3 linked regions of the Coturnix japonica genome follow. The protein of the gene in region 2 binds, or shares a complex with, the protein of the main gene of each other region. Links are inferred from orthologs where the notes say so. Each region holds a gene or a part of one and is shown on either strand. Other genes may lie near its edges.

Region 1 (3,750 bases), on a different chromosome or scaffold from region 2:
TGTATCTTCAGCACATGCTGTTTTACCACACATGCAAATCAAGTGGGAACCACATTCATTCAGCCCAGAAAAGCAGGCACAACTGAAGTCCACTTGGTATTTAACATGCAGTTGCCAGCTTTCCCACTGTACTACAACTTGGAAATCTTCAACAGCTACAGAGACAGCTTTTAAACAGTTGAACTATTACCTTTGGTGCAGCAAACTTACTTTTGCATTGAGACAGTGTTTCTGTTCGGTCTACAAGGAAGAATATGTTGCTATTGGGTTGCTGCCTATAAACTTTCTGTAAAATAAATACAACACCACATTAAGTAAAAGTAGCATACACAGGCAACCACACTGCAGCAGAAACTCACTGAAGTCCACTGAGATACCCTTCCCTTTTATGTCTGAAAGATACCTTCTCTGCCATGAGCAATGTCCTCATGTCGCACCAAAACATTTCAGGAACAACCCACAACCATTCTGCATTTTCCTCCTTTCCTCATACTTAAAGGGTCATATTTTGTTTTACATCATATGCACATGAAAAATAAAGAAGCTTTTAACATAAACTGATCCACTCAAACATCATAATATAAAAATTGTGCTAAAGTAAAACCTTGAGACAGCTTCCTGTTACAATGCACAAGTGTAAGTAAACCCTCAAGCGATGTAGACAACATTTTGACACCATACAGAAGATCATATACACATTAAAATCTTTAGTGTAACAACTAAAGATAATGTACTCACTGCAATTTTGTTTGCCCTCTTGCCTCTATACAAATTTATCTGATGCTAAAATGAAGTAAGCAGAAAAAACTTTAATGCTTACCCTGTTCTTCTTCAAATTCGAAAGCTCATCAACTACAACCTTCTGTTCCTTAATCTGAAAGAGAAAAAACACATCTCAATATAATTGTCAACAATAAACTACTGTGTTGCAGTCCTGGAGATTAAAATCTTTACCCATGTTTTTAAGACAGCTATAAAAATATAAGTCACTGTGCCCTGAACAGACCACTAAAATGAAAGTGGACACAGGAATGAAAAAGAAATTTCATTACCCATTATTCCAAGCATACAACAAGTCTTCGGACCACATAACTGAATTACATTTAACACACTTCTTATTGAAATCTAAGTTATGAATTCAACAATAAGACAATGAAGCACTCTAAATAACTGCTTTGGAAGGGAATTATCTTGCATGGTTGACACTGTTCCCATCCCCCCAAAGCAGTCATTACTGGGAAGCCAGAGTACTCCTCGCTGCTCAGAATCCAAAATCACTTCACCCTCAACCTCCCCCAAAAAAACAAACGTATAAACAACTATTAACATTTGTCAGCCTGGAGAAGAGGAGGCTCAGGGGAGACCTTATAGCTCTCTATAACTTCCTGAAGGGAGGTTGTAGTGAGCTGGGGGTTGGCCTCTTCTCTCATGTAAGAGATGACAGAACTAGAGGGAATGGTTTTAAGCTGTGCCAGGGGAGATTCAGGCTGAACATTAGGAAGTATTACTTCTCAGAAAGGGTAGTCAGGCATTGGAATGCACTGCCCAGGGAGGTGGTGGAGTCACCGACCATGGGAGTGTTCAAGAAACGTCTGGATGTTGTGTTGATGAATATGATTTAGCTGGGAAGTATTGGTAACGGTTGGACTAGATGATCTTCTAGGTCTTTTCCAACCTTGATAATTCTGTGATTACGCAACTTAGAGAAAAGATTTACCTACACAATACACTTTATAATCTTATTCTCCAGATTCAAAATGAAAACAGTAAATGAAACAATTAAAAACCTACATAACCAATAACCCCCCCCCCCCCCCCCAAATAAATAAATATGTATAAAACAACCCCAAAACTGTATTAAGATAATTAGAAACACTTCCAGTACACTGGACTTTTAGCACAAAGTTGTCATGCTGCATCTACCGCCATCAGTTCAGCTGCACTGACACAAACAGTCCAATGCTCCTGCTTCCCTGGACAACGTCAGCCACTAAAGACAAAGAGCCATTAAAGACAAAGAGCAATCAGGGCCCATCAAAAAAGCTGAAACACAAAGCTAAAGTGGTTCAACACACACTACTTTCTGTAAGCACAGAACACACCTTACTCCGGTCCTCCTTTCTGCCTCCTGGAATTGGCGCAGATGGAAATAACTACAGGGCTGTATAAGGCAAACTGAACTGAGAAAATGCTGTTTCACCAACAGCTACAACAGCATACTATGATAGTTATTGAAACAGACAAGAACACAGTGCAGTCTTGTGATGCAAAGCAGAACCAGGCATTTCAGCCACGCAGCTAATACGCTGTGTTGTGCTGATGCAGTTGCTCTCTTTAGTCTCTTATGTAACCAATCAACTAGAGAACAACACTAATCTATTGCGATATTAGTGTAGAAGAATAAAGTCACTTTTTATGCGAGGACAACTGACCAGGACTGTACAGAACTCACACTGAACAAAGACAAGACTGCCACTACGAAAAGCCCAGCTTTAAAGCTGGCCTCCTCACTAAACTCCCTCACGACTTGCTCAACAAACCCAGAGAACCACATTCTCCTTCGACTAATCACACACAGCCCATCTCACAACACTAAAAACGGGAAGGGAACTCGCCAGAAGGGCTCACAACACTCGAGCTCCCCCACACCTTCACCTGGGCCACAGCGCAGCTCAGCCTCCAGCACACCCTCCTCCTTCCCACACACAACTATGAGACGCAGGGCAGCACCTCAGACCCTCCATAACTCACCCTCCGGCTCAGCTCCTCCTTACGGCCCAGCTCGGCGCTCTCCTCCTCCTCCCGCCGCGACATCCCCAGCTCGCAGTGCCGGCCGCTGCCGTCGCACAGCAATATACGCACAACGGCTGCGCCTCACGCTGTGGGCTCCAAACAACTGCAGCGACTGCGCATGCGTACAGCAGAGCGGCTGTTAGGCGCGTATGGCTGAGGTGGAGTTATGGCCGTAGTGGCTGTGGAGCAATGAGACCATTTTCCTTCAGTACCGGCTGCCTTGTTGTCGGATCTTTGATAGTATTTTGATTCATGGAGACATTTCCCGTTAGTCCCCTGCTTGAGCTCTACTCATCTGTTGTGCTGTGTCCAGGTGTGGAGCCCTCAGTACAAAAAAGACATGGAGATTTTGGAAAGGGTCCAGAGGAGGGACAGGAAGATGATCAGGGGGCTGGAGCACCTCCCCTATGAGGACAGGCTGAGGGAGTTGGGTTTGTTCAGCCTGGAGAAGAGAAGGTTGCGGGGTGACCTCATTGCAGCCTTTCAGTACCTGAAGGGAACTTACTGCCAGGAGGGGAGTAAACTCTTCGAAAGGGCTGATAATAGCAGGACACGGGGAAATGGTTTTAAGTTAAAAGAGGGAAGATTTAGGTTGGATGTTAGGGGGAAGTTCTTCACTAGGAGAGTGGTTAGGCCCTGGAACAGGTTGCCCAGGGAGGTTGTGGATGCCCCGTCCTTGGAGGTGTTCAAGGCCAGGTTGGACGGGGCCCTGGGCAACCTGATCTAGTAAAGGTGTATGTTTGGTGGCCCTGCCAGGCAGGGGGGTTGGAACTACATGATCCTTGAGGTCCCTTCCAACCCGGGTCATTCTATGATTCTGTTGGAACCTTCATTATCTGTCTTGCTACATTAACCAAAGATGATAAGTGAATGCTTCATCCTTCTGTGCCATCTTCCAAGTAGTAGTAGTGCTTTAGCTTAGGATGCAAGTAGCAGTGTGTCTTCTTGGTGTGGAAA
Region 2 (3,750 bases):
CGATCCTCGTTCTCGTTACGTTTTCTATAGTGAATTTGGTTTTTCCACCTTTCCCCGCTATTCTCCCTATTGCTCTGGACAGGTGATCTCCCTTCAAAGGTTTGACTAAAACAAGAACAAAGTACTCAATCAATTACGCTGTGCTGCGTATCCTCCGTGACATTTCCTCTATTCAAACAAAGGGAAAAGCAGCAATTAACACATGTTGAAACACATCAGTTTTAGATGCTGCTCTCCTTGTGTCCAGCTCCAGGTTCTCCCCATAGACAGTTATGCCATGTATTGGCATCGGGGTTTTCCTGATCCCCAAAGTGACACACGTGGAAAAGAAGGAAAGAGCAAAGAAGTGCTCAGAAGTGAATGGCTGCTTGAGTAGCACAGCAGAAACTACTCACCATCCGTAACTTCAAATGATTCCAGGAAGAGATCATCTAATCTGATGAGAGCGAGAGCGTCCTGCAACATTCAGAGTCACCATCAGCCTGAGCACTGCAGCACTGTCACACACAAGTTCTTTACAGGCCCAAACAGATCAAATCAGTCACGTATCTCCATTTGACGCATCAAACATCAGTTTTAACTTCAAACATTAAAGAAAACCACCCTGAAGTTTTCTGTTTCTTGATGTCATGTCCAGAGTGCTTGAAGATATTGAGCAATAGCACAACCCGGCCGCTGGGAGACTCACCTCCACCTGGAAGCCGAGTATGAAGGCTTTGACAAAGTCAGCTGCTTTGGTCAGAGCACTGAGGTCTTTGGTCTCAGCACAGGTCTGCAGAACGAGAAGATACGTTTCTATGTTATCAGGCAAACGGAATCAGGACTTGGAAAGTCAGTGAGATAAAGGCTGGCTGTATAAAAGAAAGCCAAAGCCACGTTCGTGTAATGCCACCTCCGCATTGTGTTCTACTGAAAGCGCAGACCAGTAGTGTATGTTGTGCTTAAGACAACAGGCTGCCCAGAGAGCTGTGGGTGCCTTGGAGGTGCCCAAGGCCCGGTTGGGCGGGTTTCAATGAAACACGAGGGATGAGAGGAACGTGAGGACACACAGCACAGCGCTCACCTTGATCTCCACGTTCCTGGTCTTTAAGTTAAACCTGATCTGGAGCTGCAGGTGCTCCACGATGGGCGTGAATATCTTCATCCAGTTCTCCTTCAGCGGCGTGTACCTGTTGGCCGGTACCGGCACCTTCCTCACCTCCCCTTTCCCCACCTGCGGACAGATGGGCGCTGAGCGGACACGTGCAGCCCGTCCGCCCCATCCCTCCGCCTCGGCGCCGCGCTCACCCCCATGGCCGCGGCGGGCAGCGGTGGGAAGGCGGGTCTCTTGCTGGGCTGCGGCCCCGCCGCATCCACCGCCTCCATCGGCTCCGCAGCCGCCGCTCTCCGCTTCCTCCTGCCGCGCTTGGAAGCCACGCTGGTGAAGCCGCTCCCGTTCTCATCCGCTTCAGACTCCATAGCGTGGCCCTCCGCCGGAAAAGCCACCGCCACTTCCTGCCCGTCCCGCCGTCCCTTCCGCTTCCTGCGTTATCCGCGTCGCTGCCGTCGCTCGTTATGTCGGCGGCGGGGCTGGACCGGCCGCAGGTGGTGGTTCACGTGCAGCAGCCGCTGACTTACACCGTGTTCGACTGCAAGTGGGTGCCGCGCAGCGCCCGCCTGCTGTGCCTCGGCAGCGCCCCGCGAGGCACCGGCCTCATCCAGCTGTACGAGCTGCGAGCCGGGCGGCTGCTGCTGCTGAGCGAGGTGAGCGGGGCGATGCGGGGCGGCACCTCGTAGGCCGAGGGGTTTAACGCTTCATACGGTGCCGACCGTGTCCTTTATCTGCAGATCGAAAAGGCCAAACCGATAAAATGTGCCACCTTCGGGGCAGCCTCCCTGCAGCAACGGCACCTGGCGACAGGGGACTTCGCGGGATGCCTCAGCATCTGGTGGGTGTGTGATTCCTTACAGCGCTCCTGGCTACTGAAGGCAACGCTGTGTTATCTGTTTCTCACATAGGAACTTAGAAGCTCCTGAAGTCCCCGTGTACTCCGTGAAAGGTCACAAGGAAATCATTAACTGCATCGATGGGGTCGGAGGCCTCGGAATTGGGGAAGGTGCCCCAGAAATTGTGACAGGCAGCCGGGATGGTGAGTGGGAGAGAGCTGAGCTGCTCAGTGACATCCCTGAACTACAGGCTGTGGGCACCGAAATGGAGGGCGGCCCTTTGGGATGAGCCTCCTCTGCTTCCTTTGGGAGCTGGAGAGGAGGAACATAAAGCAGAACAAATACAAAATAGCAGCTAGACATCTTATACTTTCCCTGTGCTTTTCTGTTTGTATTATGTTTCATTTCTTCCTATACACTGACATAGTCTGGAGGCGTCAGGCTGCCTTTCCCTGGGAAACCAAGAGTGGTGCATCAGTGCATCTGTAACACTGATGGCTTTGCTTTCCTTAGGAACTGTGAAGGTGTGGGACCCTCGGCAGAAGGAAACTCCTGTTGCCAACATGGAACCTGCGCAGGGAGAGAGCAAGAGGGACTGCTGGACGGTGGCCTTTGGTAACCAGTCTGATAACAGCCCCCTGTAATGTCACTGCGTGTTGACAGTAATCAAACCACTGAAGGCAGGGTTTGTTGTTCGGTGTTATCACATCTGTGTCTTTGCACTGTGTTTTAAAGGCTGTCTTTCCATCACGTTTGGTGGTAGTTGGCTCAGGCATTGTTTTCTTACCATCTCTGCTCAATCACTTCACAGACAAGCTTTATTCTTAGGCATTTTTACAGCCCTAGTGTGGGAATTGAACATTTCTATGTCTAGGAATGTAAAAGCAAAGAAACCACTTTGCCCTGGAGGGGTCTAACTGTGATTGTGCATGGAGAACCAATATCTGCTGATGACATTAAGACATTAATGTAAGAGACAATCCCCAGAGCTAACGAAAGACAGCAGAGATGCTTAACTTGTGCTCTTGAATTCAGGATGCTTGAGCCCAGGCCATGTCCATCCCAAACTCTGTGCTCTCAATTCATTAAATCCTACTATATGATGCTTTGCTGGCATAAATCTAAGTTGAAATTGCTGACTTAAGAGGTCTCAAATTTACAGCCTAAGAGGGGTTTCTGTGTTGTGATCAATTCTGTCTCTGTGTCCAGGCAATGCTTACAATCAAGAGGAACGTGTAGTATGTGCTGGATACGACAATGGGGACATTAAGTTGTTTGACTTAAAAGCCATGTCACTGCGATGGGAGACCAACATTAAGAACGGGGTAAGGTGCTGTGGAAGCAGGGCTTCATTCCAGCTGTGGTGTGTGTCTGTTTACAGGCAATCGCGTTATTGCCGAGTTGGTGAAGCTGTTGTAAGAATAACCAATGATTAGATACGTGTCTGCAAATCACACTCACAAATATATGCTTGTAGCAGTGGCTGAACGTATTGGTTTCACTCTTTGCAGGTTTGCAGTGTGGAGTTTGACAGGAAAGATGTGAACATGAACAAGCTGGTGGCCACGTCACTGGAGGGAAAATTCCATGTCTTCGATATGAGGACTCAGCACCCAACTAAAGGTTTTGCTTCTGTTTCAGAGAAGGTAATGGGGAGATGGATCATTCCTTTAGCAACATGTAGTACAGGAGTTTGTACAGAACTTTTGTCCAATGCTGGTTGTTTCCTAGGCACACAAATCCACCATCTGGCAGGTTCGGCACCTCCCGCAGAACAGGGATGTGTTTATGACGAGCGGAGGAGCTGGGAGCCTTCATCTCTGG
Region 3 (3,650 bases), on a different chromosome or scaffold from region 2:
CTCCGCATTCCCTGAATGTCAGCAGAAAGACACTTCTAAACAAATATTGGCGTTCATGAAAGATGGAACTTCTTTTATTCCTTTCTGTTGAACTCCGTGTCACATTTTCATGACAACTTTTATTGAATATTTTTATCAGTGTAAAAAAAAAAAGAAACAAATATTTTAAAGGATCAGCTGTTCTTTATTACAGTGGAATGTTTTCCAATCGTGTTTAAATCTTGGTTACATTTTAGATCACCTGCCTGGCAAATAAATAATTTAAAAGAGTAAATGTTCTCAAAAAGGATTTTTTATGCACAGTGCAGCTGTGGCTGAGTGCAGGGAATAAAAATCTCATACAGTTGGCCCCTATTTTATTTATTTTTTGCTTGATTGGTGTGAAACCTTCCTTTAGGGGGCTCAAATTGTAAAAATCATTAGGGATGTGTTAGCAGCCTACCAACGTGGTGACAGAAACTAACTAGTATTAAAGAGTTCAATTGCAGTAAAGAACTGGAATAACCCCTTAGATACAGGGAAACAATATGCTGTCTATGAGTTGTAACTGCCAGTAAATCAAACAAGCACTACTGAAGTCCACAGCACCTTTGAGCCAAAATATGAAGTTTTCTGCAATTTCTTTCCTGGGCTTGTGCTTCTGATTTGTAATTAGGAAATGTCTCTGTTTAAGTTAAGGAGGTCTTTTAAGAGTTAAGCTGATCCATGCAGATTGATTTTGAAACAAAAGACAGTCAACAGAAAATTCAAAACACTGATTGCTTTTTTTCAGATCTTGTTAAGCTCTGAACTGATTCAGCTTTGCTTTGTATTGTGGAACAGAATTTGCTCGAGTCTGATTATTTTCAAATGAAATAAAGCTTAAAGATGTGATTTAAGACCATGCAAATATACCCCAAAGATGAATGTCTTGCAGTTTGTGGGGGCAAAATAGGACTTAAGCTGAAACATTAAAAACAAAAGGGAAAAGCAAGACTGCAAATGTCCAGAGTTTACCACAGAGAGTTCTACTGTACAGAATCCCATATTACTGAATGCTCCTTGCAGATGTTGTCTATGTGACACAGCCTCATCTTGCTCAATTTCATCATTCAGAGGTTCATTACTTTAATGTTTTGGCATACGTGAAAAACATTTGAAACATTTTCTGAAATTAACTTTGTGTAGAACTTCCAGGTTATGGTAAGTAAGAGAAAGCACACGTTTCTTACCAAGAAGTTATCCTCTTATCCGAAAACCCCACGATTTCTCACATTTCAAATCCTATCCTTAATTTGGGTCCAGTAGAGGGAGACAGACTCTTATTTGTCAGTCCTTTCTATTTCCCTATCAGCAACTCAAGATTACTGGTGAAGTGTCTGATCTATTTCAAAGCAAAATGAAAAGTTAAGGAACAAGGAAAGTTTTATAAAGTCCTAATAGCCTCAGACTGCACAGGATGATTTCCTTGTATCTTGTTACAGCCTATTCATCATTTTTGGTATGGCATGTGTGTCTCATAAAATACTTTATAGAGTCTCCTCAGATGTGGGTTCTTTGAAATTTTATGTACTTAGAGCGTCTGCATAATTGTGGTGGTGATGATAGTGGTTTTTCTTCGGCACAGTCTAAACATTAAACTCTTCAGCTCTGTATTATTTATCAGTTTAAAATGACTTTTAGTCCATTACAATGGTTTTGGCTTAGAATATTGTAATGTTTTCTCAACTCACTGAAAAACAGTGAAGCAAGGATGTCACTGTCTCCTATTTTGAAACAGTTTTAAGCTTGCTTTGACAGATTCTGTTAAACTTTGTCTAACTCACCTCTCACTTATAACTTAGTAAAATAATATATCTTGTTTTTCTTAAAAACAAAGGTTTTTTTGAAGTTACTTTTGTTCCTCCTCTATCCTGACTTCATGGGACTTTTCTGAAAGCATGAAAATCACGTACAACTCACAGTTGTGCTGTTGCTGCTGATCTTTAGTTTCAGAATTCTGATCAACTGTTGATCTTCAGTTTAAAGTTACTAGTCAGGCAATTGCCCTCTTTGAGTGGAGGTAAAAGAGAGAGGATGCTGATATCTGCTTAAAGAATGAATAATAAGCAGCAGAAAGAAAATAATTTCCTAGAGTTTAATAAGCTGCTTTTTGGATCAGAACATAGGTTGAATATTGAAAAACTATAATTATCTTTCAAATTTTGGAATTAAAGAACTCCAGTTAAAGGTAACAAACCCTAACAATATATTAAAAACTGTATTATATTTTACATCAATAATGTATTATATTCTACATCAATATGTTAGTATTGATGTAGAAGAGTCTTGAGTGCTTTTGGTCATTGATTTGTGCAATTAAACTATTCCAAACAATTGCTTCCAGGATTGAGGATTAAAGAGACCAAGGAGGTGTACGAAGGAGAAGTCACAGAATTAACTCCATGTGAGACTGAAAACCCTATGGGGGGCTACGGCAAAACAATCAGCCATGTAATTATAGGACTCAAAACTGCAAAGGGCACCAAACAGTTGAAGGTACGTATGGTAGAGTTTCAAAATTTCCTTCAAAATGTCACATCTGCATCTTTTGTTTTTACCAGTTCTTGATCCCCACGTGGGTAGAATAACAGTGCAAAGAAACTGTTTTGCTAGGCAGCATTGTCTTACTCCTGAACACGTACTTTTGTCTCTTCAGTGTTTGTATGTTTTGGATATTGGTCTTTTCTCCTACTTATTGAAACTTTGTCGTCACTCTTAACAGCTCCTGTTACTTTTCTGTTTTGACAACACACACTTGTGAGCATTCAAGTTAAAAGATTTAACCAGCAAAAGATTCCGATGCAGTTTTGCGGCAACATCAGTAGCTCACAGAAAAGCAGGTTCAGTGGGGAATCAGAACTATGACCTGATATGCTCACAGTGACTGCAGCTGTAACTTCACATTCATAATAGCAAATGTTCAAGAAGGTTTATTCATTTTTGTTTTGCCTGATACTCAACTGAATTTTTGAGAACAGTTTTGGCAAATTTTGTCTGCTTCTATATAAATTGTTCTTTCTGCCACAGTTCTTTTTATGTGTGGAGATATGCTTTAGTGAATACGTGATAGAGAACTAGAAATTGAGCTGGTATGTTGCCAGCTCAGCCCCACTTTCCCTTTGTTTTCTTGTCTCTGTCCTTATTGTTTAATTTCCCTGTCAGAATACGAGAGCTGAAAGCTGTCTCTGTTGTTAAGTATCAACTTGCATTTGTTCACACTGAAAACAAGAAAATGCAGAGGAAAAATGAATAAATACATACTATGAGAAACAATAGCATCTCATATTCCACGTCCGCTCTCCCTCACAGCTTGACAGAGGATGCAGACTGAGGATCAAGTAGCACAACGCAGTGCAATAGTCAGTTTTTGTAAAAGTTTTGCTAGAAAGCAAGTGAAGCACCACATCCTAAGTGTAAACACATTGTCACATTACACAAAGGCATAACTGGTATCATTATGTTTTTGGCACTTAATGTCACTTTCTTCAGACAGATATTTTTGTGTAAGAAAATAAGTTTTATGCATCTTCTTTAGATTTTACAGTAAAGACTTAAGTTGTACTCTACTGCTACTCCAGGTGTCACAGCTTTATAAAATCCTAGCAGGTATTACTGGGAGAAGTTGAAGT

What was found.
Region 1: WDR92 (region 2) and ASDURF share a complex: the UniProt entries of both Homo sapiens proteins name them as parts of the PAQosome complex. The link is inferred for Coturnix japonica from reciprocal best matches to the Homo sapiens genes DNAAF10 and ASDURF.
Region 3: WDR92 (region 2) and RUVBL1 share a complex: the UniProt entries of both Homo sapiens proteins name them as parts of the PAQosome complex. The link is inferred for Coturnix japonica from reciprocal best matches to the Homo sapiens genes DNAAF10 and RUVBL1.

Annotation. Positions count from the first base shown.
Region 1 is NC_029522.1:4,422,855-4,426,604, forward strand, and holds the start of ASDURF (ASNSD1 upstream open reading frame protein), read right to left. Parts: upstream 2,882-3,750; 5' UTR 2,815-2,881; coding exon 2,752-2,814; intron 875-2,751; coding exon 821-874; intron 287-820; coding exon 211-286; intron 1-210.
Region 2 is NC_029518.1:372,885-376,634, forward strand, and holds the start of WDR92 (WD repeat-containing protein 92), read left to right. Parts: upstream 1-1,524; 5' UTR 1,525-1,554; coding exon 1,555-1,743; intron 1,744-1,827; coding exon 1,828-1,928; intron 1,929-1,998; coding exon 1,999-2,129; intron 2,130-2,439; coding exon 2,440-2,541; intron 2,542-3,135; coding exon 3,136-3,251; intron 3,252-3,437; coding exon 3,438-3,572; intron 3,573-3,657; coding exon 3,658-3,750. Other genes in the region: RNA-binding protein PNO1, read right to left, coding at 1-105, 396-456, 689-772, 1,064-1,213, 1,288-1,458. UniProt on the Homo sapiens protein: Key assembly factor specifically required for the stability of axonemal dynein heavy chains in cytoplasm.
Region 3 is NC_029527.1:7,150,968-7,154,617, forward strand, and holds part of RUVBL1 (ruvB-like 1), read left to right. Parts: intron 1-2,365; coding exon 2,366-2,517; intron 2,518-3,650. UniProt on the Homo sapiens protein: Possesses single-stranded DNA-stimulated ATPase and ATP-dependent DNA helicase (3' to 5') activity; hexamerization is thought to be critical for ATP hydrolysis and adjacent subunits in the ring-like structure contribute to the ATPase activity.